Kluyveromyces lactis: one gene and its partner. The protein of the gene in region 2 purifies or fractionates together with the protein of the main gene of each other region. This does not show direct contact. Links are inferred from orthologs where the notes say so. Each region holds a gene or a part of one and is shown on either strand. Other genes may lie near its edges.

Region 1 (15,291 bases), on a different chromosome or scaffold from region 2:
CGATCTCTGGTTCAGAGACACAGAAAGAAGTTCGTTGTTTCTAGTGTTTTGTTTGCTACGCTATTTGCTACATGCGCTATTACGGTCTATTTCAGTAAAAGATGGTTGTACAAGCAGCATTTGAAAATGACGGAGCAACGATTTGTCAAGGAACAGATCAAACGGAGGTTTGTACAAACTCAGCAGGACTCGTTGTACACTCTTTATGAATTGATGCCGGTAATGACGTTAGTGTTGGCTAAGGATTTCGATCTTGATTCTATTGTAGAGGCTCTAAAGGGGAAAAAGTTACAGAAGAAGCTTTCCAAAGGTGAAATAGCTGGGAATGAGTTGGAAAATGAGGGCTTAAGTTCAGGAATGAGTGCGATGACGCCTGCACCCAGTGTGTCAGCGAAATCTCCGCAATCTGCAGATACCACTAGCGTTTCTGAAACGTCTACGAAATCCAAGGCCGAGCTTTGGGACGATTTGAAACTCAAAGCTATCACCAAGATCATTATCTTGTCCTATACCACATCATTATTGATGCTTTTAACCCGATTGCAATTGAATATATTGGCAAGAAGAGAGTATTTGGATACTGCCATCAATTCTGCCATGGAAAAGGAAAGGGAAAAGAAGGCTAATCAATACTCAGTCTTATCTTGGTTCTCTAGTTGGATCACTGAAAAGAGCAACAATTTACCCAGTGAAAAAGCTGACCCAAGAAACAGCGATGGTACTATTGACACGGACACAAGGAGCATTGCATCCACTGCGAACCCTGAAAAATCGAGATACGTTAACGAACAAGCTTTCTTATCCTTATCGTGGTGGTTATTAAACCGTGGATACCTACAATACAAGAGTATCATTGAACAATTGGTGAAAGAAGAGTTCCAAAATTCGAACCCAAGAGATATCATGACAATGGATGAGTTCAGTGGCAAGATAAGCAAGATATTCGTCACCACAAACAAGCAATTCTTTCAACAGCCACAATCGAATGAAATGTTCATTTCATGTCTACTTCCTGAACCTAACTTAGAGAGATTTGTTCTTCAACAAACTTTAGAACAAGATGCTTTGAAAGTACTATACGAGGATAATCTATTACTAAAACAACTTGTACAAGAGACCAACAAATGCCTACAATCACCTGGAACATGGATTGTCCTGGAGTCTTTAATCGATGAAACATTCCACACAATCATGGAACAAATCGAGGATAATGTCAACAGCAAATCGAAACCTAAATCGAATGATGACGACACCAAAGTAGTCGATATATCCAAAAATTCATATCAAATCGCATTATTCTCTATCGCCACGAAAGACTGCACAAACGAAATGTTGAAAGCGGGACTCGTATCAATGAACAACAAGTTCCTACAGAAACTACACTCCATCTCGGCACTTGACGATCTCAGTGCATGCGTATATAGTAACTTCGGTCTATGAAAACCTTACTTGGCCCTCCATTCAAGTACTGAAATCGCTCCATACCGTGTATGTAGATAGTTCTATAGTTAACGTTACTCTTTCACTGGCACTACGGGGTTTCTCTTCCTGTTTCTTTAATGGCCACGTGATCATAATTTTCTTTTCCTTAAGGTCAAATAACGAAAAGAATCGAATTCCCAACAGGTTGTCAATCAACATGTTATACATCTCAGTTAATGTTTGCAAGTGGATAGGAGCTTGGTGTTTGTAGTTAGTTAGCACCATAGAGTTACCAAGTGGGTTCTATTTAGTACCAGAAAATCATGTCCAAGGAAAACCAGAACGTTGTTTTAGTGAGTGTTGAGGGAGAGAGATTTGTCGTTGACAGGAAGATCGCTGAACGCTCACTTTTACTAAAGAACTACTTGCAAGATCTTAACAGTGGCGATTTGCATGATGATAACGATGCTGACGATGACGAAGATGATGAAGAGGATGGTGACGATGAAATAGTGATGCCCGTGCCCAATGTGAGGTCGTCAGTATTACAGAAAGTGATCGAATGGGCCGTTCATCACAAGGATTCCAATTTCCCCGATGAAGATGACGACGATTCGAGGAAAGCTGCGCCTGTGGATCCATGGGACCGTGAGTTCTTGAAAGTGGACCAAGAAATGTTATATGAGATTATTCTAGCAGCTAACTATCTAAATATCAAGCCATTGTTGGATGCTGGATGTAAAGTTGTTGCGGAGATGATTAGGGGCAGAACACCTGAAGAAATCAGAAGGACCTTCAATATCGTTAACGATTTCACTCCAGAGGAAGAAGCTGCCATAAGACGTGAAAACGAATGGGCAGAAGACCGTTAAACTTACAAGTTTTCTTGTTGTTTTCTCTTTCTGTATCTACATCCTCTTCAGTTTAAAATAGCAATTTCCCTCATTTCCCGTATGTAATCAATAATTTAAGTACTTGCTTGTTAAGCGGATCTTAATTGAAGTAGTGAATTTGAGTCATGGGCAAACGCAGGGATCGCTTTCATATCGCATTTATAGCTTCAAGGTCTGTCTCTGCACCGATAATTTTTCATTTTTGTACCTATATATAATATTTAAAGAACGCGCTACCTTAAATTGAAACTTTTTGCTTCTGGTTTTATCTATTCAAGGCAGAACTGCATCGATAGATGCACCATAGGACCCTTGTTACTGGTATACTTGGTGTAGGATTGTGATGACGTTGACCATTGGTGAGGAGACCAAATCCAGACTAAGATCGCTAAGCGGGAATACTAGTTCGTTGCTAAATTTAAACAAACGCAAGAAGAAGAACAAGGAAAAGAAAAAGGATAAGGACAAGAGTCAACCAAAGTCTCAGGGCAATACACGTGTGCTACGGTCTACGAGTCTGAAACCCAATGTCAATGATGATGCATCTGCATTATCGTCGAATTCGAGCTATGATAAGGTGTATTTGATGGATGGGAGTGACCATAAAGCAGGATCTGCGAATCATGCCTCTGATAAGAACAATGTTTCAAGCACGGGTTCAGGTATCCAAAGCATCAAGATTCGTAGTAGCAGACAGTCTGGCGAAAAGTCAAGATCGAGGTCGCTGAGGATTTCTACATCATTGTCGAGGCTTCCGAGAAAGAATTCATTAAATGCAGGAAATGATACGTCTTCCACTGAGGGTTTCAATCAAACTGCAATGACAAGGGAAGAGAACACTGATCCATTGGGTTCGAGGTTACGGGTAAGCGATAGCAAGGCTTCTCTATCTGACGTACCATCAACGACTCTGTTCACCAAATTCAAGTCTTCGAAAAGTGATAGTGCGACTCCCGTAAAGAGTAAGCCAGACGAATCTGATTCCGGCCTCTTTTCATCGCTAATATCGGCTGCACATAACGCTGCTAACCATTTGATACCCAAAAGTTCACTGAAGAGTAGTAGCAGCCTTTACGATGAACCGTCCAATGGAGATAGAACTCAGTTGCTGACTTCTGGTATTGGTGGTACAGATACAAGTAATGATCCATACAACCATACAGGCTCATTTCTGAATCATTTAGACTTCCTTCTTGCTCCCAGCTCGAATAATGATTATTTACTGAAGAAGGCGACGACACTAGACACCCTTAATACCAGCGACTCCTCTACATCTTCCATTTCTCAACAAATGACTAATCCGTCTTCTACCGTGCCGTTATACGATGATAGCGATCAAGATGGTAATAACAGTGATGATATTGGTTCTGTGGGAACTTTCATGGATAAAGTCAAATTTACATCAGTAAAGCAAGATAATGCCCCCCCAATTTCGACCTTTGGGAGGGGAAATCTAACTTTAGATGCCATTGAAAAGGACAAAGATGATCTCAAGTCCACCGGCTTTCATACACCAAGTGTGCTGATTACCACAGACCAACCAGATCGACCGGTATCGTCTCCGTCCCCACTCTCAATGCCTAATGATGATGCAAATACGGACAGCAATACAAATTCTGCCAGTCCTTCATTCGAAAAAACTAGGCCGAGGAACGGTAGGTCAAGACGCCCCGAAGTGTTGAGAGATTTAACTATGAGATCATTGTCGCCTGCTGCAGCTACGAAATTATTTACAGCACCCCTAAGAAATTCATTTTCGGGCAGAAACATGACAAGAGCGAGTAGCATATCCAAGACCAGTGATATTGTTCAACCACCTGGAGGACCAACACGCCTGTCAACTTCGGACATTCCAATAAAGAGAAAAACTGAAGAACCAGAACTTCAAGGCATTGAATATGCAAGTGCTAAGCGTAATACAGATTTCCATACAATCTTTAAAGACACCGTAGTATCTCCAATTGAAAGATTAATAGCGGATTACAGTTGTGCTTTATCAAAAGATATTCTCATTCAAGGTAGGTTATACATATCTGATAGACACATTTGCTTTTACTCGAATATTTTGGGATGGATGAAGACTGTTGTAGTTCCATTCAAAGAGATAGTTCAGATCGAACAAAAGAACACTGCCGTATTATTTCCTAATGCCATATCGATACAAACCTTACATGACAAGTTCCTGTTTGCATCTTTCATATCAAGGGACAGTACATTTGATCAAATTATGGATATATGGAATCAAACAATAATCAATAAAAACTTCAAGCCTAAACGAGGTACTATGGGATCTGCCGATCTGATGAATGATGAGAATCTGACTCTTGATAGTGAAGCTTCAAGCATGGATTACGATGATGAGGATGTTCAGACTAACGACCGGACTTCCACATCTATCACTGATTCCTATGGTAACCGTGATGAAAGTGATTCGTACGATGACGACGATACCGATGACATAAATCCAGATGATATGACAAGTAGCTCTGAGGAAAGCACAAATAGCGTGTCTGACGAGGCAAGACCCTCAGGACTTTCCAAAAGTTCAAATTCTCAAAGCTCAGCACAGTTGGGTCCTTCGAAACATGAGCCGACTACTCCCGACTACACGCCAAAAGAAAATGAACGAGAAATGGGGGAGACCATTTTGAACGCCCCTCTTGGTACAGTGATAAATATACTCTATGGCTCAGATGTCCAATACTTTGATCGAATATTAAAAGCTCAAGGCAACTATGATATCTCCAAATTTAATGAAATAATCCAATCCAAAAAAAGAGAATACGTGTACACTAAACCAATTTCCGGTAGTATAGGTCCAAGTAAAACTCGCTGTGAGATTACTGAATCAATCGACAAGTTAGATCTCAAAAATTACGTGCAGGTCACACAAGTCTCGAAAACTCCCGATATACCTTCGGGTAATTCCTTCGTTGTTAAAACAATATTCTTATTCTGTTGGGCTGATGACAATTCAACCAAGGTGAAAGTGTATACTTACGTGGACTGGTCTGCTAAGAGTTGGATCAAAGCGGCTGTTGAAAAGGGAACCTTTGACGGAATAAAATCTTCTACGAAAATTCTTTTCGAGGAACTTGAAGACATCATCGAGGAAAACAAAGGTAAGAGCAGCTCCCCAGATAACAGAAAGGATATTGAAGAGGTTTTATCTTCACTACCATGTTTGGGACCTAAGGAACACGAACCAACCGAATGCACTTTTGAAAAATCAAGCGGCTATGAAATTATTGACGATAAAATAAGTTTCAAGTCTCCTGTTGGTACCATCTTCCAATTAATATGCGGAGATGATACCTCATACATGAAGAGAATATTGGAAAGGCAAAAGAATATTGAAATATCTGATATCCCACCATTTCAGAATAAGACTAGAAAGTACACATACGTCAAGCCGCTACCAGGATCAATTGGTCCAAAGCAAGCAAAGTGTTACATCGAAGAGAAGATTGAATCTGATGATGTTAACACGTGTATGGTACTTGAACAAATATCAAAGACACCAGAAATCCCATCTGGTAATTCATTCGAAGTGCATACCAAATTCTACTTCTCCTGGGGAGAAAAAAACACCACCAATGTCTTAGCAGCAACGAACATTGAATGGACTGGGAAAAGTTGGATCAAATCGGCTATACAAAAAGGATCTATAAACGGACAGAAAGCTAGCGTTCAGGATATGGTAGCTGAAATAAAAGACATTCTTTCTTCTGCGTCGTCAACAACGAAAAGAAGACCAACGATATCTAGAAGGAAAACTGAAAGATCCAGGTCAAAGAGGAAAACCATATCAAAGTCAAGGGAACAACCAGAAGTACAGAATGGCGGATTATATGCAACTGTCCAAGAAATATATGGTATTGTTAAGGATCTAGTTGCTGACTTACCTCCTATTATTCTTGCTGCTGCTGCTGTAGTGCTGCTTATACTAATCATATTTGTCCCTAGACTCTGTTCGAGTTTATTCCACAGAAGCCCATCGCCTCATTTCGTTAGTCCCAGTACAATTGTTATGGACGGGGAGGAGTACTATGTTCTGCCTGCCATGGAAACGTATTATGGAAGGAATAGGCGTGGTAATAAAAATAAGCCATTCAGTAAACTTTATTCTGATTCTGAATATGATCTATGGAATTGGATTGATTCACACAGCGGCTCGGAACTAAACAAAAAATCTGGACCGAATTTAGATGTCAATTACAATATAAACAGTACTATTCCTTTAAACAAAGCTGTGGAACATAAGAAGCAAAATTTAAAAGAGGTTATCAGATTAACTGAGTTACAATTAATGAAGCTAAAAGAAAAAGCAAATTTAACCGATAACTCGACTTAATCGCAATTTGTAACTAATATATAATATTCATAGGCATAGTTAATCACATTTGGCTTTATATCTTCTAGCCGCCATCAAAAGTAAAGAGGTCAATTGAGCTGACCTTGCCTAAAAGTCCATGTCTCATATATTGATTGCATCATCTTGGTACGTATTTACATGTATAAAAGTTTAATATTTGGCCATAAAGCAGTCCGTAATATTATTATCGAATTACTACCGGGGCGGTCTAACAAGGGTGCATAATTTAGGAATTCAGTGGAAACGCACAGAAAGTCAAGAATATCGATCATTACGCTGGAGAGTTAGCAATTGCGGGTGTTCAACGAGATTTACTCAACATCAGCTTGCTTGTCATTTCCGAGTTCACTTGATTCGGGATCGTGGTTTGGTTTAACCACTAACTTGCTATCTTCAATAACCACATTTACAGTCTCCTCGTGTCTCAATTGACCCCTTAGCAATTGAATAGCCATTGGATTTAGGATTTGTTTATGGATCAATCTGTTCAAAGGTCTAGCACCGTACAATGGGTCATAACCTCTTTCAGTTAACCAATCCTTAGCTTCGTCAGTTAGATTTAGGGTCATACGCTTGTCGTTCAATCTTTCTTGAATTTCCTTGAGTCTAATATCGACGATTGAACGGAGAACTTCTTTTGATAGTCTGTTAAAGACAATCAAATCATCAATACGATTGACAAATTCTGGAGGATAGTTCTTTTTAACAGCTTCAATTACGCTTCTCTTAGTCTTCTTGCTAACCTTACCATCATCACCTAATTCGGTATCATGCAGCAAAATGTCTTGGCCGATGTTCGATGTCATAACAACAATGGTGTTACGGAAATCAACTTGGTGACCTTGAGAATCTGTTAGTTTACCTTCATCCAATACTTGCAATAAGACTTTACAAACATCTGGATGAGCCTTTTCGAATTCATCAAATAATACAACAGCATATGGCTTACGTCTCACGGCTTCAGTTAACTGACCACCGCTTTCACTTAACACATAACCGGGAGGTGCACCGATTAATCTTGATACTGTATGTTTCTCCTGGAATTCAGACATATCAAATCTGATAACGTTAGATTCATCATCAAACAAAAACTCTGCCAAAGCTTTAGTTAATTCTGTCTTACCGGTACCAGTAGGTCCCAAAAACATGAAACTAGCAATAGGTCTCTTTTCACTGGTCAATCCAGCTCTTTGTAAACGCACTGCGTCACTTATAGCATCGATTGCTTCATCTTGACCAACAACTCTTTCTCTTAATGAATTCTGCATATATAGTAATCTGTCCTTATCACCTTTCAAAACGGTTTCCATTGGAATACCTGTCATCTTGGCAATGACTTTAGAAATGTCATCAGAGGTAACAGAGTCATGTAACAAGTTGTTTTCAGTATCCTTCTTGCTGTTCAGTGCTACTTTTCTTTCCAATTCAGGGATCTTGGCATATCTTAGTTCAGAAGCCTTGGCATAATCACCTTCTCTTTGACAAATATCCAATTCGGTTCTCAACTTATCTAAATCTTCCTTGGCAGTCTTGATGGAATCCAATTCAGATTTTTCGGTTTCCCAAATTTCAGTCAACCTCTCCAATTCTTTCTTCTTCACTTCCAAATCCTTTTCAAGTTCCTCTCTTCTTTCAACAGAAACGGGATCAGTTTCTTTCTTCAAGGATTCTAATTCAATTTGCATTGTCATAACAGCCCGATCAATTGCTTGAATGGAGTCAGGCTTTGACTCGTGTTGCAAACGTAAAACAGCACATGCTTCATCGACCAAATCAATAGCTTTATCTGGGAGGAAACGGTCGTTAATGTATCTGTTGGATAGCACAGCAGCGGAAACTAAGGCTGAATCTGTGATTCTTACACCGTGGTGCACTTCATACTTTTCCTTTAGACCTCTCAAGATTGAGATTGTATCATGAACAGAAGGTTCATTCAAGATGATAGGCTGAAATCTTCTGGTCAAGGCAGGGTCTTTTTCAATGATTTTGAATTCATCCAATGTGGTAGCACTGATACAACGTAACCCTCTTGCCAAACGCGGTTTCAAGATATTCGAAGCATCCATAGAGCCATCTGTCTTACCCAAGCCTAGTAACATGTGAACTTCATCGATGAAAACAATGATCTTACCATTGGACTTATCAATTTCATCCAAAACGTTCTTCAACCTTTCCTCGAATTCACCACGGTACTTAGCACCAGCGACCAATGAACTTAAATCCAAAGCGTATAAGTCTTTGTCTTTCAAAGATTCTGGCACTTCATTGGCAACAATTCTTTGAGCTAAACCATCAATCAACGCAGTCTTACCGACACCGGCTCTACCGATCAACACTGGATTGTTCTTGGTTCTACGCGAAAGAATTTGGATAGCTCTCGATATTTCCTGATCACGACCAATCACTGGGTCTAATTTCCCCTGTTTAGCCAACTCCGTTAAATTCGTACCGAACTGTTGTAAAGCTGATTCTCCACCCTCCTGATCTTTATTCAAATTTAAATTATAATTCTTAGCATAGCTACGAACAGAAGCGACATTGAATGCAGTAGAAATGGGCGGTATACTACTTATATTGGGCCTTCTAGCACCAATATTTAAACCAGATATAACTTTATTACCCCGGCTTATTCCAACTGTAGTTTGGTTTGGTTTTTGAACCAAACTGCTAAAAGACCGGCACGTACATCCAAGTTCAACATCAGATATACTAGGTTGATATATTTTAACGTTCTTTAATAGCGACGTCCGACTTAGCTTACGATTCAAATTTTCAGCAGACCTTAGCATTATTTAATCCACTCTGATTGTAATTTCTTGATTCACTATTTCACCTGCAAACTGTGTAGTTGTTTGAATAAGGCTGCTATTAATAAACAATCTGACCAAACGTAACTGAATCAGTGGTTGATCTGACTGTATGCCTCTTGCTGAGCTTTACTGTTGTTGTTTTTCTGAATTCTCCCTTGTTCTTATATACTTCGAAATGTCTCAACCGCCGAGGTCTTTCTGTTGTTTTCTCCCGAATTCTGGAAAAACATGGAATTTTGGTCACATGACGTTCAATTTTGGCACGTGATTAGGAACTAAAGCAGGGAGTTATATGGATCTTGTGTTCACTATGGACAAGCAAAGTACCAAGCAGGAACGGAGAAAAGGTTTGAATATAGAAATTGGAATGTCTTGTAGGAAGTCAGGTCAATTACTTACTAAAAAGTGATACGTAAGGGAAAAAACTGCGGATGTGAGAACTGTGATTGGGAATGCGTGTATGCGTTAAGAGTTAATTATTGTCAAACAAGATTTACATTAGAACTAAGAGCGATGGTGCAGTGATTCATCAAAGGTTTATCTTTTGCTGGTACTGACCTAGTTGGAACTTGAGCATTCTGTTTTCTGCCTTGTAAGTTTCAAGTTCTGCTGCTATTCTGTTGTAGTCTCTTGCCTTGAATTCAAGATCCTTGATATATTTCTCTCTTCTCTGTCTGAATGCTCTCTGAGCGTTCCTGTTCTGGGCAGCACGCTTGGTGTTGCGCAATGCTTTTCCCGACTTTCCAATTAATTCTCCTTCGGTATTTAGACGTTCGCCGTCATTTATCATTGTGATTGTAGGTAACGTCGAAGTAGCCAATGTCGTGGAGTTTTGTAGTAGCGACGCCGGGTTTGAACCTGATGTCTGTGACGACTGGTTACCTGTTGCGTTTGTCGTGGAAGAGTTGATACCCGTGGTACCGTTGATAGTATTGGTGGAGGTTGTGGTATTATTACTATTAGGTGGGTTCATTGGGAGATCCGTAAGGTCGGATTTCATGTTCATCATTCTTTGAGAAGCCGTGTTTGGCATGTTATTTAGACCCGGTATACCGCCGTTGTACATGACACCGCCGCCGCCATTGGAATTATTTGTAAGTTTAGCGTTCGCATTTGGATTGGTATTGGAATCAGACCCGCTGTTCAACATCATAGGCATCTGCATGCCCATCAACGTACCGTTACCAGAACCATTCGTGTTGATACGACCAGTACCGCCTAGTTCTGCCCCGACCGGGGTAGTGGTCACAGAGGGCGTAGTGGAGTTCCCAAGCGTTGAGTTCACAAGTGGTGAAGCACCAATCTTACCTAAACTATGGTGGTTCCCTAAATTCATGTTATTCAGGTTGTTCATATTCATAGGTGAAAGTTGAGGCGAGTTATCCCCTGTTACCAAGGGCATATCGATTCCCGGGACCGGAATATTCATACGCTGTAACGACGCAGTCGACATGGTACTTTTAGGATATTGCATGAAACCGGGTGTGCTCCTACCTGTTGAATTCGCAGTGTCACGTATCCTATCCTCGACATCTTCATCGTTGAGTTCACCATTATCTTCTTGATCGAGTGTATTGCCATTTTCATTGTTGGTCTTACCGTTCATATTTTCTTTCTGGTTCGCTGTGGATCCTGAACCAACACTGAGATCCCTATTATCGTTGCTAGAAGCGTCGTTCCCAGAACTAATACTCCCTTCAGTGGCAGAATTCCTATCACTATCATTAAGTGCATCGGTATTATTACCGTCATTGTTGTTATTATTGATATTATTATTATTATGATGATGACTGCTATTAATATTTCGGTTGTTGGCATTACCATTGTTATTTTTCAAGTTAGTACCGGTGTTGCTGGTTCCGCCGCTACTATTGTAGTTCAACTGAGGCAATGAAAGATCTTGCATGGCTCTTGGAGTATTAGAGAAATTAGACCCGGTATTACTGACGGAGCTCCTAGTACCGTTTTCCACATTTCCGGATCCACTATTGTTAGACTCTTCTTGGACCAAACTGGCCAAATTCAACAACGATGACTGCGAGTTATTCATCGACATCTCTTATCCTGTGAGTATACTTTTTCTTCCAATAAGTGCGTTAGAAAAAGCCTAAAAATCACAGAGACAGACAGTATCACAATATTCGTATCGATTAAGCTTTATGAATATTGATAACCAAGGCCACTGATGATATTATCGACACCACAAAATTCTTTAACTAAATTTAGGGTTCTTGATCCGGTCGATGATTTGTAATCGCAGGAAGGGAAACTAGGAAGAAGTAAAGTAACGTCAAAATATCAAAATAGAGAAAACCTTGAAAAAAAAAAAAAAATTCAGGTCTTGCTCGATCTTTCTACTGCGGGAGAAAATGACTATGATGACGAAATAGAAGAAGAATATAAGAATAGAATGCTCGAAAAATCACTTTTGTTGGGATGGCAACAGGATAAGTTATGACGATGAGGGTGTAGCTTCTTATCCAGTTGACCTTGCTTTATTAGAGTTGATAAAACTGACTTTATTTCCTGGTTGAGGCTAGAACTCTGACTAGACCTTAGGATTAATCGTGAAAAGTAATAATAAGTAAACTATTATGATAGAATCAGTTTAACAATCAAGTGTATAAGCAGACGAGGGTGATGGTGCCTATCGGTACAAAAAACGCAAGAGAATATTATTGAACCCACGGGTGAAATAAGCAAAGGAATGAAAAGAAAAAGCCGGTCGTATTTATATAATACTAGCTACTCATCTGACCTACTTATACCAATATTGTATTTTTGGTACGGATGTGAATATAACACAATCCAGACAGTTAATAGTGAATGGATTGACGAACCCTTAAAAGGTTATGTAGTGTTAGCCTCGTCCTTGCTTCATCCTTCATGCTTCATGTTTCCGTCGACGACGTAACACTACTATCCAGCACGTTACGAACTTGCAGCACTCGCCGGTTCAGACCCCACTCCTTTCCTTGACGAATTTTTTCTATTTATTACAACGGTAACCAGAGCAAAGCCGTTTTTCGATCCATGTAGAGTAGCAACACTCAAACGTAACACACATTACAGACATCATCGGGCTTGCTTTATCTTTAACTATGTGCAGTATGGAAATTTATTTGCTATTTGCCATTTTAAAATAAAAATGCTACGCAGTCTTCCAAGTATTTTGTGAGGGAAAATTCCGAGCCCAGTGAGGAAGAAAGAAGAAATGAGGTCTCTCTCCGAACACAGGGAGCTGCGCTCTGCATGTGGAAAAGCTGTAGGAAGCTGAACAGGCGACTGGTGTAAGCAACAATGATTGCAATTGACATTGATAAGTCCAGATCAAGAACCTTACCTATTGCATGTGACTGGTTGCTCTCTTCATGTTTGATTTCTACTATTTTGTAGTTTAGATGTTAATATTAATGTTTGGTCTCGATATGTGATCTCTGCTGACGTCATTTGATTTGTCACAGGCAAGGCAAGGCAGGCAAGAGTTCAAGGCAAGACCAAGGAAGGCACCATGATAATCAGCAAAATCGCTGGATCTTGCGAAATGAGCGTACCGTGGAACAGGAAAGACGTGCGGTTTTGTCAAATAACGTACGGTGTATCCGTGCCTGTGTGTGTAGTTCACATTTACACTGGTAAGGGAAGCTCCAAGTCACGTGGTTTGATCACGTGCCTGAAGATATTTCCTTCTGCTTCGTCGTTTCGAGTCAAGTTACCATTGCAATCCATGAGCAAGTCTTGAAACACTTGCCATTGGTCTTCGTCCACATAGCAGTCCCAATAGGAGTTTGGTTCACCAACGTTGACTTGCAATCCGGCGTGCGCGTCCTGGCGCACGCTCTCTTGGTCTGGAAGTGAAAACCTACTCCCGTCCTCGTTGGCTGGATCGTTCCAGTTCCACGTCATATGCTGTGCCCTGGCATAATGGTAAGTCTTAATGCCCGAATCGAGGTAGCTCATGAATGTTTCAGTCAAGCGTTGAATACACTCTTGCTTTCTTTTCTATTTGTTATGTACATTTGTTTCATTATATTGTTATGTTATTGTGTATGCGTGTGCCATTATTGCCGGAATTCCCAGTTTTTTCAATGGGGTTGATATGACTGGTCATGTGGTTAGGTAAGAAGCACCGTCTAACTAACGGACGTACTTCATAATAGTAATGTAGGGCGTAATTCACATCACTAGGATATCCTTCATTAGCCTTATCTCCTTGCCACTCGGAATATTTTCCGATTCCTTCTATTCCTCGAGTCTAATTAGAAAGTGAACTTTCCCATGAAAACTCTTGGCACAGTATATTTAAACATTCACACCGGAACATAGACATTGTACAAAAGGAGAAAAGAAGTTCAAGCAAAACACCCCCCATCTTACCATCATGCTAGGTGGTACAGCGATGGCTGATACTAGTTGGTTAAAACCGTTGGTGTCTCAGTTCAACTGTGAGGGGTACTTGTTGAACAGTGGCAGTTTCCGATCGGTGAATTCACTCATCAATGATACAGATATCTGGAACCAGACCATGAACTATCCAGCATGGTACGCGAACTGTACGGATAGCGATGAAACGTCGATATTCATCGATGCGTTGGCTGACTTGTCCAAGGAATTCAGTTTTGTTCCTCAGAAAAACGTGTTTATCAGTGGGAACCTTGTGATCGCTTTCGTTCTATCCGGAGTATGCATCGGAGGTTGGATGTTATTCTTACTTTTATTTTTACTACCATCTACAAACCATAACAGGCAGAAACGTATGGTGCATTTGTACGTGTTGTATTTCTCCATAGTCCAAACGGTCATTTGGAAGAAGACTAACGATGAGGTCTTTGAAATACAGTATATTAGTAACTATCAAGATTCTCTGGCATTTGACAAAATGATATTGGAAGTTACATGGTCTAAAGTGGTACGATTCTTCTCGTTGGTGTTTTGTAATGTGAATTGGATCATTGTCATATATTATCTCTGCTCTCGGAGTAGGGGAATATCCCGGCGTTGGAGACGGTCTATGCCCAGGTGGCTCAGAGATTTAAATGCAGTTCATTGGATAATGTCCTTGGTCGTGATCCTATGTTTGTTACACGTAATATTTTTCGGAATACAGTTATTTCAAGGGGAAAACAGGGCTCAAACTTCCATCTCGATAGTATTTAGAGTATCTCAGCTCTCACTTTTCACACTTTTCCTTTTGGTTACTATATGGTATTCTTATCACAGTTTGAAATCTGCCTCAGCGTCAGTGGACCATCAAGGTATGTCCATATTCAGAAGACTGCTTTTGTTTGTTCACGAATACAAGGAAATAATACCGCTTCTAATATACAACGTTGCCGTGTATATGTTACTGTACGTGGTAGCGATTTTACAAATAAGGCAAGGCGAACCTTCAAGCCATTGGATCCATTTTGTGATTGCTTTCCTCAGAATCCTGATCTTCGTTAACGCTTGGGGTCTCATTGGAAAATTGGAGGAAAGAGAACAGAAAGTCTCCAAGAAATCGTTGTTGGGTAGGAAGATCAACAACAACGATAGATTCTTCGTGGATCCGAAGATCAACTATGGCGAAACTAAGCAGTACCTCTCTTCTCCAAATGAAACAAAACTCCCGAAAAGGCCTCGTCTATCCAAATCGTATAGAAACATATTCCATTCGAATGGGTCATTTCGGAATAACGATGCGGAATCATCATCAGAGTTTTTCAATTTACAAGATATGGCGAACAAAAACGCAAACAAACCCCAGTTTACTGATAGAATTGTTTCTGACACGGAAAGTGTCGACACTATG
Region 2 (16,241 bases):
GGTAGAAGGAAGAAGACTGTGATGAAATGAGCCAAAATTGATTGGAGATGTATGCACTATTGATGTCTCTTGAAGTGCAGACTGTTCATCTAGTTTCAATAAGCTCTCTGAGACATCGAGGTTATTAGACTGAGTTCTAATTAGCTGAGTCATCTTTTCATCGGCCAATGTAGACCTGATTTCTTGTGTTTGACTTACATTAGCTGAATTCGTTGCAGGTACTAACATTTCATTAGATGTTTGAGTTACATTTTGAGTGTCAATATCACCCAAGATATTACCATTATCTGCATCCTTCAGTGTCATTATAAATGGTTGTGGATGCCCCTCTGGGGACGAGTTGATATTTTCAATCAAGCTGATCGGTTCTGAAGCTGCCTTCACTTCACCTTTAGCATTCCTAAGTGAGCGAATCGATATCTTATTCTTTAATGGCGTGTCTAATAATTCAGGTTGATATGTGTCATTGTTATTCAAAAGAATACCTTTAGTTTGAGTCAAATCAAACGGTAATTCCACTTCGATATTCAAGTCTTTCTCCTGAAATCGTTGCAATACATCAGTCTTTGATTGGATATCAATTCTTCGTCTAATCTCGAGATCTCGATTTCCCTCAGGTGTGTCTTCTAACAGGGATTTATTCGTTGGATTTAAATTGAGAGCAGTATTACCCAAAGCCTTTATAGCCTTGTTAATTCCCGTGAGCGTTCGGGTGCTTGTATTTTCTTTTAACACTATTTCATCTGAGGAAGTAGACTCTATCTTGTTCGATAGCTGTTTTCGATCTGGACTGTAATTGGGAGTCTCTTTGGTAATACCACTGTCTTCTTCGTCTCCTGTCATACCATATGAAACAGCAGATACTGATATTGATGGTTCAGAATGAAGTGATATTTTGGCTCCGTATTTTTATCGAATGTTTAATAACTTTTGTTAGTTGTGCGTTACATACTGTAAACTTTCTTGTTTTGGTTTATGATTTTCTGTCAATATTACATTTGTAGTTGTTAAAGACTAAGACATTAAAGAGTCAACTGTGCGATGTGTGAGTTTTATTATTATGTATCCATAGCCGGTCGCATCTCTTCAGGGTATTAGTATATGAGTTGCTAGTATAGCACTGGTTGCAGGTTTGCTATTCTAGGAATTGATTTTCGGTTCTTCTAAGGAAAAGTATGATATTTTCTATCGATGGGTGTCAGACACACATGAAGTGAACCTTTTAGAATGCATTTTTTGGTTGTTGGCACAAACGATATATACCAACACAAGAGGTGTAGCTTTTATGATCCTCGCCTTAAGCAAGCATAATTTTGCTTCTCGTGATTAGCACCCTTTAGTCGGCAACAATAACTGTGATATCATGACCGACAAAAATTCGAAATGTAATGGTAAGTGACATTATTAAATGAAAGCTAACAATGATAACGATTGAATGGTAAATACTAACTCTAATGTCATCTACTATTAGGTTCATATGTTGATGTTCTACTTTGTTTTGAGTCGTTATTGGAAAAATGTCTCAAGACGCTTGAAGCCAAGCAACTAATCAAAGATTCAACGGAAGTATGGGACGACTTTGTGGATATCATACTCTCGTTCATTCCCTTAAATCTTGTGAAAGAACGATTCCAAAATGGTAATATTAGCAAACAGCGTATCATTTCTATAATGCAGGGTATTCTTGATCACAATCCCGATATTGATTTTACAGTGGATGCAAATTATATGTCGGATAATCTATGTGCTAGATATGCAGATGATCATTTTGTTCTTAGATGGAAGACAAACATTATCATCAACTTCAGAATTATTCAAGCATTCTTCGAGCTTCTAGATGAAGAATATGGGACCGCTTTTTTCTCTTTCCGCTGGATTCTACAGTTCATTTCAGTCTCTAAAAATAAGCGTCACAGTGAGAAGCGATCAGACCTTTCCTCGTCTCGGATAACATGGATAATTCGACAAACTTCACTTTATCTGGCAAAATGTTTGAATTTAGATTTTAATCAAGGGAAAAGGGTAAAATACGTGTCCTTCAATTCGGTTAGGGTGAATCGTTTGGACATGTTCAAAGGCATATTATACACAATATTGGAAAATTCAAGCAGTGTAATATCTGCACAACAGGACATCCAGAATAAGCATATGACTGCGGAGTATTTCAAGATATGTGCAGAAATCTATGAATTTATTGCGCTACTCGATGGGAAAGTATTAGACTATGAGCACGCACATGATGTTAAGACTACTGTGATAATACCGCAAACAGTTTTTTCCACTTATATGATCCGTCATTACATGCTAGCTGCAGTTCATTTCCCATTCGATGACCCTAAAAGGCTTGTATGTTTCCACAAAATATTGATGGGTTTATTTTTTGTGAATAAAGTTGACTTAGCTACTTTCAACTACTTCTATGGTGAGTTCTACCAGTGTGCAAAATCCATAAATGAACAGCACTTTGTCACTGATTATGCTAATTTTTCGCTTTCTGGTACCTTTGTGAATATAATTGAGTCAGTTGCACAGAATCATCAACATCTCAAGCTTTTACCAAGTGTCCTAATCCGGTTGTCTACCAATGAAGTAATAGTCGACTCTGAATTCGATCCCGTCTTATCAAACCGACATACTTATTCGAAAGAAGCAGAGAAGTTGAAACGAAAAGTTCGTGGGTCTGATTATGAACGTGATAATGTTGAAATGGGCGAAAATGGTACCAATAACTTCATAGAATTTTGGCGACAGCTCAATGAAAGATAAAGCAAAAGTACACTTTTATATAATTTTTGTTATATATGTAACACCAAGTCTTCTATCTATATATTAGTGGGAAGCAGTGTTAATAAATCGAATCGATTAAGTTGAAATAGTTTCTTTTACAAAATTACTATTCAATTCATCAAGACGTTTAGAACTGTAGCCACGTATTTCCTCATTGATCTCTTTTGATTTATGATTAAGTTGATGCTCTAGAACAGTACTTTCTGCAAGAATATCTCTTTCATCATTATTTGACGGATAGTTGTTGCCAGCTAAAAGCTTTTGCGTTCTGTAATTTTCATATAGCTTATTGTGCGTTGTATCTTTCAAATCTTGAAGATGAGATCCTAATAGAATGTTCTTCAAATAAATGAAATCACAATGAGCCCTATTTTCCACTTTTACAGTTCCCCAGGAGTACCTTCTCACGTGAAACAGTTCTCCATTTGGTGAGACTTCAACTTCATTACTACCAATTATCGAAAATGGTAACATATCCCTGATTCTACAGCAAGCTGTATTCAATTGGGCTGTTCCTTCACCATAACTATTTTGCTGCATACTGTCAAAAGAAGTGTTATTAGGAATTGGACTAGAATCATTAGCCTCGACAAGCATCAAAGTATCTTCTAGTTTATCATCTACAAAATCGTAGATATTGATATCATTTTCATAAATATCTTCCATGATGAGACGTTTATTTAATGCTATTTCCCTTTCGGTTAATAAATCAGCTTTGCTGATGACTGGGATGATATTGACCTTGTCACATAACGCCTTCATCAATTTTATATCTAGCTCACGAAGGCCTTTTGACGTTGCTCTAATGAAGAATAGGCAAACATGTGGTCTAGTGTCAACATTTTTTGGGTTTCTCTTGATTCTTATTTCCTCATTCAACACGCGATCGAACTGGGATTCCAAATAATCAACAACGACTTCATGGTTATTAGAATTGTTGATATTATCCCCCAAACCTGGAATTAGAACAATGTCGAGGCTTATTGGTGTAGAATTTTCCTCTTGTAAATGGAAATTCTTGGACACAATATCAATGCCTGGGCTCAAATGTGCGGTGGCAGGATCAAAACCCTCTTCTTCGTGTCCAAAAACCTCTTGGTTGCAGATATTATTGCAAAAAGTGGACTTGCCTAAACCTGATTCTCCTATCACCAACATGCAGAACTGTATGCCTCTTTTGGCATTTTTCCTGCGACGAATTTCTTCTGCACTAAGCATCTGATAATTAGATTTCTTTTTGCCAAACATTATAGCTGATGGGAAACACTGTTCACTTTGCCACCGTTCGTGAACCTTCGTATCTTTTCCGTGCGCAAATAGTATGATGCAATGATGTGGTTCTTTCTTCGAACCCTTTTTTATCTTTTATCTGACAACATTCTTCGACAGTGAAATAAAAGAAGCGACGATTTTGTGTCATAAAATAGTGCATACAAAATCGAGGGAAAAAAGGTATGAATGAGTTTGTCCGTCAATGGAGTCGTGATGATACTACATAGTTTATATTAATTTTCAAAATCTCGGTTTCTTCGTAGCTTGTTCGGCGGGTGGCTCTGAAGGTCTTTTTATGCTTCTTTCAGACATGATTCTATTCGAAAGCTCTTCGATCTTTCTTTCGGTATAGTTCAAAAGTTCTTCATTGACTTCTCCCTCCTTTATGATGTCGTAGTCGTAAGGGTTGAATGGTTCGGGATCTAACTGTCTATCTTCATCTATCACTTTGTCTATTTCGTCAACAGTAATGGATAAAGCGCTATTTTTGTTGCTCTTCAAATCGAAAAAGGCTTTTTCAAGTTGTTGATAATGCGAGAACAACGAAGCAATGATTTCACTGGTTATAATTACTGGGAAACGCCTCCTGAAGAAGTTATGAGGGAAGCTGAAGCCCGGTTCTTTGTTTTTTTGAAAGGTCACACCAGCGAATATTAGGGCTAAGGCCACAAGTGTGTATCCATCACATAGCAATGAAATTGGCTGTGTTCCTGTTTGGATGATGAAATTTCTTGCTTCTTGTAAAATCACGGGGAAAATCTCTCGAAGTGATGCATCAATATCAGTATCTCTAACATGTCTGTAATATCCACTGAATATTTCCTCTATAAGTTCTTTCGGATTGTCAATGTCAAGGTCGAACCCTAACTGACATAACACTTTCTTTTCATATGAAACAAGTTGGTCCCTGACCTCCCATTTCAATTTCTCCACGTTCAACTTCTGACCAGTTGGGGACGGGCCATCTTTCATCATGAAATCACAAGTTGCTTTTATATAGTGGTCAGTTGGTCTGTTATTTTCCATGGTTTTGCAGGCCGTAACTAGAATAGCTTGCGCCAAATGGATGCATTGAGGTATAGTAGGCGGAAGATCATACTTGTACCAATAACGGTAGAATAATATACATGCTGCAGTGTAAGTATGATCGAAAAGTTTCATCTCCTTCCTCAATTTATGGAAGTACATGAGACACTTCTCCATTCTCTTCTTCGTCAATTGAATTTTCTCCTCATCAGTACCTAACCTTTTAATTATATCAGTATACTCGAATGTCCATTCATTCTTCGGGCATTTGATTATATCAGGCCAAAGATTTCTTGGATTGAATTGAGGATTCCCTTCATTCTGCTTGATGTCTAATGACGTCTTACCATTACCACTGGGCTGGGAATTAGCTATCTCTTCGCTGGCTGAAAGGACCATTTTTAATCTGTTAAAGCTCACGAGAAATTCGTTCAAATTGACTCAAAATTCGGAGTAGATATGAGATGGTTGGTTGGGATGAAATGACGTTTGTAGTGGTGTGTACGTCTCTCTTTCCTGATTCAATGCCAGCCAGTGGATTTTAACGATGCATATGTAATTCACTGAATAAAAAGGAAGTTATCATGAATGTAGGGTAACTATATATATACATTTGTATTATATGTTGAGATCAGTTGTGATCAACACTCATAGACAAAATGTGAGAAAATGAAGGTGTGGGCTTGAGGCAGTATCGTAGTATATTCCCCAAGTCGTCAAGTCATCGTGTTATTCTGTTATCTTTTCGTAGCAAATCCGATTTCCGTCCATGACCAAAGCTTTGAGTTTCTTTCTATGATGAATTTTAGAATGTTTTATTCCGTGAGTGGATGAACTCTTCGTCTTGGCATGAGAGTCAAAATGATCATTTGAATTGTTCTTTACCTCTTGCATTGTTAATCTCATTTCAGTATCTATCGAAGAAACTGATGAAGGTGCTGGAGATGCGTTTCTTCTTGTTTCTGCCAAGTAATCATCTGACACCTTTCGGCAATTACCATTATTACTTGATGCATGGGATTTCTTCTCCTTCAACGAAACGCTTCTTTCTTTACTCTTAGCCAGGAGCCGTTCAAACAGTACAGCCTTGTCCTTCACCTTTTTAGACGATTGCAACTGCCGTATAAATTCAGTAGAAGAAGAAGAATCAGAATCAGAACTTGAAAGCGATTGATGATCCAATTCATAGATCTTTGACCAAGGCTGATCTGCTAACTTAGGGGCACCATCTGAAAATACGGAACTTCCTGACCGCGAATGCGAAATTCCAAACGAATCGGGAGAATGGGCATGATTAGAATCTGATCCAGAGTCAATTCTTTTTAGTAAAGAGCTTATTGTGCTGAGTGGGGTGAATTGTACATCATCGAGTAAGTTGCCATATTTATTTGGAGTCGCAGAGGTATTATGTGTAATTATCCTATCAGGTGTTTCTCTCCCAGAAATTACACCAATCCTATGAAAGCCTTCCAAAACTCTCAAGTATTTCAATCCTTCCTTATCGATCTTTGTCGGCTTAGTGCGTGGCTTTTTAGTAGGCGTACTTTCACTATCAGCAAAGTCATTCATAGATATTTGCACCGGTTGAATTTGACCATCATTATAACTATCACTCCCAGTATCCTCCTCAAAAACTGATATATTTTCAGCGTATATTTGGTCCAATCCATTAACGTCATTAGTTGTGTCAATATCCGACTCATCTTCAGTTTCCCAGAGATCTGAGTTGTCGGGCATCATTTCACCATCAGTTCTCCCGTCATTAATGTATTTTTTTCCTACTCGCTGGTTCTGGCTATCATATCCATTACTTTCATTATCATTTTCATCGTTGTTCATATTGTCATTGTCTTCACTTTCCGATGCAGTGTCTATTTCGTTTATCCCTAAATCATCATTTGATTCTAACAGTCTCAAGAGGTTCCCTGAGACCTTCCTTACTCCATTATGCAGATATCGCAGGGATTGAAAGAATGTTGTGTCATTCAAAGATACAAAATCGAAACCTCGTCTATTCCTTTGTAACATCCTTAGCGAATCTAAAAAGTATCTTTTCGTCCATAAATATTGATTCTTTGGGTCATGAAGTATACTATAGTACATTAATTTTTCATTCGTAAGAATTCTTAACGTCCAGCATGTGGCTGACACATTCTTTAAATCAGAGAATTTGAGCTCTGATAGTATCTGGAATATAACGTTTATCGGTAGCTCATCTAATGATTTAGGACTTACCACTAGACTGTCACCCTCATGCATTTTACCAGAGATTTCCATTTGTTGTTTAATTTGTATTCTTGTTCTGTTTGTACCCTTAAAGCTTTACCGATTCTTATATTGGTGTTAATCGGTTGGTTTTGTTCGTTCCCCTTCTTTCTAGTTATATAAGTTTGAAGTCAATTCTATCGTCTCATAGAGAAGATCTCTCACTATTCCTTACGTGTTTCTACCACTTTATATCGTTCTTAGCTTCTTTGTAAAAGCAAATCAACCAAGAAACTCATGTGATACACAGAATTTTGTAAACACTAGCTCCTTTCAATGGGACAAAGTTCGATGCTTTGAGGTTTCATTAACTTCTCATCAGTTTACTCTTCCAGGTTCATTGTTTACCAATTAAACTAATTGGGTAATTATCTATCATGTGACTTGTTTGATCATGTGACTTGAAAAGCAAGAGGTTTACTTGGGACCTTTCTTGTAGTCCCTTGAGAAAACATGGTGTCAATGGCTGCCTCAACCCTCAAGAAATGATGTTGGATCGTAGTAAGTGTTCTTTGGTAGCTCATGCTCTTGTTTTTTCTATGTGTGGTCTGCTTCCTTAACGAATCTTTGAGTTTAAATATAGCAGATCATCATGAAAAGTTATGTATGGCTCACTACGTAAATCGAAGAAGAGCCAACCCGAAATCCCCTGTAAGGACGAGACCATAGGCAACTGTAGACAACATGCTGTTACTATTGATGGTACTTTTCTCTTTGGCATGTGCTTCCGAAAGTATAAGAGGTGTACCACCAGAGAATCAGTCACTATACTCGCCCTTACCAGAGGATCCAACAAAATGGAGATGCCTAGATGATACAGCAAAAGTGATACCGTACAGCTCTATAAATGATAATTTGTGTGACTGCTCGGATTGCTCTGATGAACCAGGAACTAATGCCTCTCAAGAGCGTGCTCTTTTCTACTGTAATAATGAAGGATTCACTCCAAGAAATATACTGAATTATAAGATTAACGACGGTGTATGCGACTGCTGTGATTGTTCAGATGAGTATTTGCGTGAGCCGTTCAGTCGTGGTAAATCATGTTCAGAGTTGAATGATGAGTTTCAGCGAATACTTAACACAGAATTGGAAAATTACCGTGCTGGTGTCACTGCTTTGAAGAAACTCAAATCCAAGACGAAAGATAATACAGACGATCCCAACAGTGCTGAAAATGTTCATTTTCAAATAGATGGATTGACTACGTACTCAGTGGATCTTAAAACAGCATTGAACAATGTCGAAGAAAATTTACAAAGTTTAGAGGAATCTTACAGATGTAAACTCTTTGAAGAATCGCCACAATTATTTGAATACGAGAACTTAAACGTTACTTTTATCACTGACTCGGTAGTGTCTGTGTTCTCTCATGCTCAAATGTTATCAAATGCTTTTAATGAACTAAAGTTCATCTTGAATAATTTATATGAAACTTATAACCGTAAACTTAATGATAAAGTGGTAATTAAGAACATGAAGCAATTTGCAGAATTAGAAATGAAGTTTAAGAAGTCCTTCCAGCCTGACGGCCGCTTGGACGGTACTCAGCGTGACCAAATCAATGAATATCTTAATGAAGAGCTTCCAACATTTTTATTTGAGGGTAAAAGCAAATATACTCCTGAGATTATCGTTGCCAAATCTAACTTTATCCAGAGAATCATTAACGTCAAGTATAAAACCAAGGATTTAACTCTTGATGGAATAAAACAGTTCCAACAAATTGCAGATGATATAATTGAAAATCATGACATAAATTTTCAAGACGGCGCAGTGAAGAGCTTCACCGACAGTTATATGTCGTTCATGTCCAAATATGAGGATTCCCTGTACGCCATTGATTTCCCTGAGAATTTCAGTGACACATTTTCCGAATTATTGCTGTTCATTGGGAAAGAGGCACCAAACATCGCAGTCGACTCAGGAACGGAAGGTTCTGACTGGGGTGTAATGAGGATAGTCCAAGGTGCATTCGATCGTATGAACTTTTTCTCTACTTCATTGCAATCCTACCGATCCCAGATCAAATTCATGAAAGAGCAACGACTCTCACTAAAAAAGAAGCTCAGAAAGACAGAAAAGAAGATCATAGAATTGAAACAGAAATTGAACGACCAAGGTGGAGAATACTCAGAGTCACAATTGATCCACAAACAAGTTGGCACGTTGCTAAATAATTTAAAGGATTTCTGTGTCGATAGCGAACTTAATTCCTATATCTACAGATTATGCTATTCAAACGACAAAGGCGGTGATATTGTTCAAATAGAGAACAAACCTGATGGTAACAAAGTTGTGATAGGCCGTTATAGAGGCTTCACGATCGACACCAATTCAAAATATGACGTTTACCTTCAAAGCTTGAAATATAGGTATCCAAACACAGAAGTTGGCAACCATTTATCAAGTGACACTGTCGAAATCGGCAAAGAGGAAATCTTGTTGGGAAATCTACCTGATTTGAACAATGGGTTAATATTAGAGTACAGAGGGGGTACTAAATGCTGGGATGGTCCTTTAAGATCCGCCACAATTCAAATGAGATGTGCACCGGATTTCAAAATCGAGTCGGTTTCAGAACCAACGAGATGTTCTTACGTATTTGAAATGACAGGACCATTAGGATGCGATCCTCATTTCCATTATGAAAGACCAAACTGGCTAATATAACGAATGAATCAGGGCTGATTATTCTCTGTGGCTGTAACACCTCATCTATCTACTAATTCCTAGTCCAAATACAGGCTATATAATAAACGCTTTTTTCCTCGCTGTGTGTGCGCGCTTGAACGTAATCATATGCCGGAATAAGCTTTTTAACTTTTTTAAATTTTTTTTGTACCCCTCGGTACCTGCATGCCTTTCTGCCGCAATATCTGCACTAAACGACATAAAAGGAAGAAGACCGTTTTTTGTGGCAAGTACGACGAAACAAGTGAAAAGGCATTAGGTAACTAAGGGAACTGGGTCAATTCGTATAGTAAGTCATGCTCTAGAAGATTTACGGGCTGCTGGAAATGTCAACATTCTAGAACTTCGCCGCAGTCCCAAAAAAAAAAGGCGTAATGGTAATTGAAGAAGAAAATCTTCTTGGAGATCCCTTGTACGCAGGATTGGACAAGAACTTTAAGGAATTGGAGCTGCCTATTTTTCCTTTTTTTTCACCTCTAAGTGGCATGGAAATCAGTGTACTGTGAGCTATTTCATTACGTGCAAACGGAAAGCGGTGCCCTTTTCGAATCTACGGGTTAAGTCCGCCCCCCGCACCCCTCTCTCTCCCTCAGGCTCCTTTTTTTGAGTCGTACGACATGTCAAAACGGATACAAAAATGGCAAACGACTAATTTTTCTAGCAAGAATATGTTTCCGCATTAGTATGTGTCAATATCAGTTGACAGAACCTATATAAGTATTCTGTGGCATTTCAGGATGGTTTTTTTTTTTCAGTGTAAAGCCTTTTAGAAGAATAACATATCCAATGGCAGGTACCTAAGGGAGTACTGCAACAACGAGATTTGAGAACGGATTACAGCAATTCGGTTCGATAAGCTAAGGAATGGGATATTTTCAACCTGTTGGTAGTGTCGCTGGAGGTGAAGAAATCTATGATGAGATCAATGACGTTGATGGATTCAGTTGGCAAACGTATCCTCATGCGAACCATGATAGCGCACTTGGGAATGCACTTGCGAAAAGTGGTATAACAAAAAGCAGTTCTCAACTTATAAAAAAGGGTAGTGCTACCAAGATCGAAACTCAAACGTTATATTTTTGTGATCAAGATAGTGGATACTGTGGATTTATCCAATTCTTAAACAGCAGTGTCCTAGGAGGGTTCTACAAGTCATTTGAAATGAACATCAAGGTGTTTAATGTAGACAAGGACCGTACTAATGACTCTGGGAGTGATAATGCTAGTGAGTATATCGATTATTGGAAGAACGTCAAATTAAAGAAGCCATCTGTTTTCACCCCGTTAGAAGTCAGCAATCAGAACATGCGGTTCATATTTCGGAAACAATGTGACCCCAGTTGGGACGAAGATACTGTTGGAAAGAAACAACGCTCACGCAATTTTTATCAAGGAGCTGAAGCGGTTCCGAATGAATCAAGGATAGGCACATTAAGTGTCGAAGGTCAAACGGAAGAGTTGTCCATCAGTTTAGATGTGAATATAGGCAAGGGATTCAAGATCAAACCCGATGGTAGGAGTTTCTTCTCGAGAGTTCCCATGAGGGGCAACCCAAACGTCGACAGGTGTATCAGACATGTATTTGCTCCGAATTGTACTGGATCAGGGCATATAGTGGTGAACTCGAAAAAGATAAAATTTCACTCAGTACCTATGGTCCTCATCACTGCATTGCAAGGCCTTAAACCTAACAGCGCTGCCAAATCGTGGAATTTCGCTGCTTTCATGTCACCTAGACGGACAATTTTATGTATGGAGTTTACAACGCCAAAAGAATACGGTGAACAAACAGTGACCATATCGTCGGACACAAACAAGATAACCTCATCACAGCGCATATATTGCGGTATACAGGATAAACATAAGCATGTGAAACATTTTGGGCTAACACTGGATCCCAAGACCGGAGTAGAGTATCCAAACATCGTAGAGATTCCGTTACCCAAAAAAGACGGTGAACTATGCCCCACGTTACTATTGGGGCCCTTAAATCTAATCAATGTGTACGATATATTACAAGAGATGCCCACGGTATTGAAAGGCATTGTGGAAAAGGTGGAAGGAATCAACCCATATCTATATCAGTTCTGTCAAAGAACCGAGGTAGATGACGAACGTGCAATATCACTTGTAGAAACAACATTTATAAGTCCATAGATCCAATTCAGATAAATTTAAAAAATGATTAACAGAGTGAATAGATGCGAGTCGTCATTAATCCCAGACATCTGATCTCCCATATCCAAGAGTCAAACGTCAAACGTCAAACGTCAAATTACGTATCTTGGCAATCTTCAAACACAGCAGAACATTACCCGGTACAACAAAAGAAATTTTTTTCCTCATTATCTTCTCAACCAATTTTCATAGGAAAACAGAGAAATAAAAAGTAAACTTAGAGCTCATCTCAAGAAATTGGGACTAGAATAAAATAGTGTGTAAAAAAAGCAGAGAATAACCTTGTTTCTGTCTTTGTCTCTGTCTTTGATCAAATCAGAGTTTCTCCTACCAACGCTGGCTGTAAAGATAGTGGAAAATTTTACGTATCTAGGTTAGAAGTGCAGTAAGATCAGGAATATTCAGGAATAGATTTCCCTGCTCTTCGGTTTTTTTTTTTTTGGTTTCATTCTACTAGTCGTTTATCTGCGAAGAGAAAGGATAAGGAATAAGGAATAAAGATTTGAATTGTGTGTGATCCCAGGACACTTACTGTTGATTAGCTAGTTATTAAAGATTGTGTTGAACTGGATAAAACGTTTTATAACCTAGAAATTTTTTTTTTCTTTTGGTTTTCTTTTTATTAAATTGTTGAGCCTATTGATTTGATCCAGGTGCATATAGAAAAGTCCACTAAAGAGTAGAATACCATTATTGCAGCTGCTAATTGCAACTGATAACACATATATATTATGTCAGGTAAAAGCCCGAGGAAGTTAACTAGTGGGAAGAAGCCTACGACTCTGAAAGCGTTACAGGATAAAATGGGAAATAAGAAGGATAAGCCTCCGCATTTAAGTTCTAGACCGAGACGTTTCAGTCTAATATATTCTAGTGATTCGTCGCTGAGTGATATACCACAGGATTCGAACAGCAGGGGCTCGAATTTGTCCAAGTTACCGTTATATAAGAATCCCAAAGCCGGAACTAAGCTAAAAGGTCGATCTTCGAATGCGATGGGTAAGAACGGAAAGCTGATATCAACGAATCAGGACTCAGCCATCACATCAGGTTCGGACAGTGCTACAGCGTCTTCAGACTACCAGTCTCTCTCGGAGGATGAAGGAGGTACAATGGCAGTAGATGATGACGATGATGATGATGATGATGATGATGATGATGATGACGATGACGATGATGACGATGATGATAGCGACAGTTCGAGTACTAGTTCAGACGATGACGTGGATTTTGTGAGACTTACTGCGGAACGTAAGAAAAACGCAATGAAACAGCTGAACGCTTTGAAGAGGGGCAAGACACCTGCAGAAACTGTCGTCAGTAACAGCAACAATAAAGGTAATAGTAAACAGGGTGGATTTCCTAATAGGGCTCAGCAGAATCGTGAAGCTTCGGATTCGAATGATGAGGACATTTCAAGCTCTGAACTATCAGATGCTCCTGAACTGTCATTCAATTTCAAAGGCGACGATGGGATCAAGTTCGGTGATGCTTCAGTAGCCTCCAAGAAGGCTGATGAAGATTTAGGTGAGGAAGTCAAGGATAAAGATGTGAAACAACCTTTAGATTCCATTAAACCAAATGTCGATAGATTGGCGGTACCGAAATTTTCAGATAGTGAGGATTCAGATTATAATATCGATCAAGAGGCATATTTCAAGACCATTGATGATGATAACGAAAATATTACCGGTATAGATAACGGCCTTGAGACTGGTGATGACGATATGGCTATTCTGGATGTTGAAGAACAGAATATGGTTAAACAGCTTGAACGTGATGATCATTCTTCTTTCGATGATTCGCAGGTGGAATCAAAGTATAGAGATGGGAAACCCAGAAATGACGACGATGATTACGAATACGACGAGGACGATGAAGATGATGCAATCATGAGTGATTTCGATATGCCCTTTTATGAAGATCCCAAGTTTTCCAATCTGTATTACTATGATGGCAGCGACCAACCCTTAACTTTAAGCACATCTTTACCGTTAGTGTTAAGCGAAGAGAAGCGTAAGAGGGAAGAGCGTAAGCAATTAAAACAGCGGGAAAGGCAGGAGAGGTTGAAAAGAAGAATGACTTCCAAGAAGTCTAAACGTGAACATTCTGCTACTCCAGATCTTGCAGAAGATGAGTACGTATTTGGGTTATTTTTCCAAAGCGATGACGAGAAACCTAAAGTTACCAATGACCTTGAATCTCCTTTGCGTAGGCTCAGTACCGTGGCAGTATCTGATAAAGAGCTTTCATCTGGAGATGAAGAGTACGAAGATATTCTATTAGATATCGCCCACCTCCCTACAGATGAAGAGGATGAAAATGGCTTGGAGCTAGACGAAGTCGAAAACTCAGATGGTGAAGATGACTTTGAAGAAGATGATGACGATATGAGTGTCACCAACGTTTTCATTGATATTGATGATCTCGATCCAGATGGCTTCTACTTTCATTACGATTCGTTATCAGATGAGGAAGCTGGAGAAGCTAAGAGCTATCCTGACACTCCAGATGACCATGTGGAAGGTGTCATCTTTGTAGATGACGAATCCACTGATGAAGATGACACTTTACCACCTCCAAATACAAGACGCAAAATTGGGACTAAGGCAAAAGAAGTCGTTAGTGCCAACGTTGTTGGTTTGAAGCCTCCGAAACTTGGAACTTGGCAGACAGATAACAAGCCCTTTAGTATCATTGATGGCCTTTCCACTAAATCTTTGTATCCTGCTATTCCGCCAGTTCAACAAATTTTAGATCCAAGAATTGAAGTCGAAGACGTTTCATCACATAATGGTATCGGATCAGGAGGCGAAAAAGAGGAACTAACCCTTAACGAATTGTTGAATATGAGTGAGCTTGAAGATGAAAACAATGAAGATGGCGCTGACTCGAATTCTAAGAATAAAGAGATTGCCACCTGGTATCACAAACCATCTGTTCCATTATCTGCTTTCAGAAATAAAGGCATCAACTTCGAACATCAAGAAGACGAATACATGCTTCCTGTGTTTTCAGCACGCAAGTTCCCAATTGGTTACGTTGGTAGTGAAAGGACTAGAAGGAAGATCGATAAGATGAAGGAATACCAAAGAAAGAAAGATGAAAAGCGACGGAAGATAAAGAAGAAAAAGAAGCTCTTGAAAATCAGAAGGGAAAGGCAAAGAATTGAAAAGCAAAAATTGCTCACTGCTCCTGAACAAGAAACTGAAACTGAACCCAACGCAGATTCTCACAACAACATTCAAACTCCCTCTAGCGTGAATTTGGCTAGTCCAAGTTCAAGTGTTTTCACCGATGCAGATGCTGGAAACACACCTAATGATTTCAACGGTCTGGTTTTACCAACGAGGAAGAATTCTGTGAAGGGATTAGGAATGGATGAAATTGATCAACTGCTGAAATCTGATGATGATTTAATACTTTCTCATCATGGAGATGAAGATGGAGATATTGATCTATTAGGCAGTGACGATGCAGATCTCCTGGTTTCTCTGACTGCCCCGATTGAAGAAATTGATTTTAACCATGAACAAATGAGCCATGTTGCCGCATGGAGAAGAAGAAACAGTATCGCCGAAGCTGCTGCTGAACATATGAGAGTAACCAAGAATGGACTTTTCAGTGAGACGGCGCTAGCTGATCTGGAGGAAATCATCGGAGGATCAACAGAACTCCCAAGTTAACCCTCATTTTCACTTCCTTTGATTTTATTTTTTATTCCTTGGTTTTACCACTGCTGCTGATGCGAAACTACTCGACTAAAGCATAACCATAAACTACAATTATCTGTATTCTACCTACTACACTTTCTTGGATATAATCTACATAGATATCATTCTGTGAAGCTCTATTCAGCTTCACCATTTTTTCCGTAAGAGGAGTGTTGTACTTCTCTCATAAATCAACAATTAACTTTAAAATCATATCCATTAGAATATTAGCAAATATTTAGCAAATATGTGTAAGTGCAAATAAACATTGTCTAAAGACCGTTCCCGGTTTTCAGCTCCTTTGTA

Evidence for each region.
Region 1: the proteins of MFB1 (region 2) and SKP1 purify together in Saccharomyces cerevisiae (affinity purification with mass spectrometry; 4 studies listed by BioGRID, with this or other methods). This does not show direct contact. The link is inferred for Kluyveromyces lactis from reciprocal best matches to the Saccharomyces cerevisiae genes MFB1 and SKP1.

What each region holds. Positions count from the first base shown.
Region 1 is NC_006041.1:1,494,888-1,510,178, reverse strand, and holds SKP1 (SCF ubiquitin ligase subunit SKP1), read left to right. Parts: upstream 1-1,745; coding exon 1,746-2,294; downstream 2,295-15,291. Other genes in the region: PEX3 (Pex3p), read left to right, coding at 1-1,440; YSP2 (Ysp2p), read left to right, coding at 2,659-6,669; chaperone ATPase HSP78, read right to left, coding at 7,002-9,479; KLLA0_E16875g (bZIP transcription factor), read right to left, coding at 10,030-11,556; SWM1 (Swm1p), read right to left, coding at 13,128-13,460; DFG16 (Dfg16p), read left to right, coding at 13,882-15,291.
Region 2 is NC_006042.1:1,207,726-1,223,966, forward strand, and holds MFB1 (Mfb1p), read right to left. Parts: upstream 7,363-16,241; coding exon 5,815-7,362; downstream 1-5,814. Other genes in the region: chromatin-binding protein RAD9, read right to left, coding at 1-843; ADY4 (Ady4p), read left to right, coding at 1,672-2,766; septin SPR28, read right to left, coding at 2,863-4,035; BUR2 (Bur2p), read right to left, coding at 4,300-5,484; GTB1 (Gtb1p), read left to right, coding at 8,035-10,023; KLLA0_F13200g (survival factor 1 family protein), read left to right, coding at 10,909-12,201; KLLA0_F13222g (uncharacterized protein), read left to right, coding at 12,954-15,908.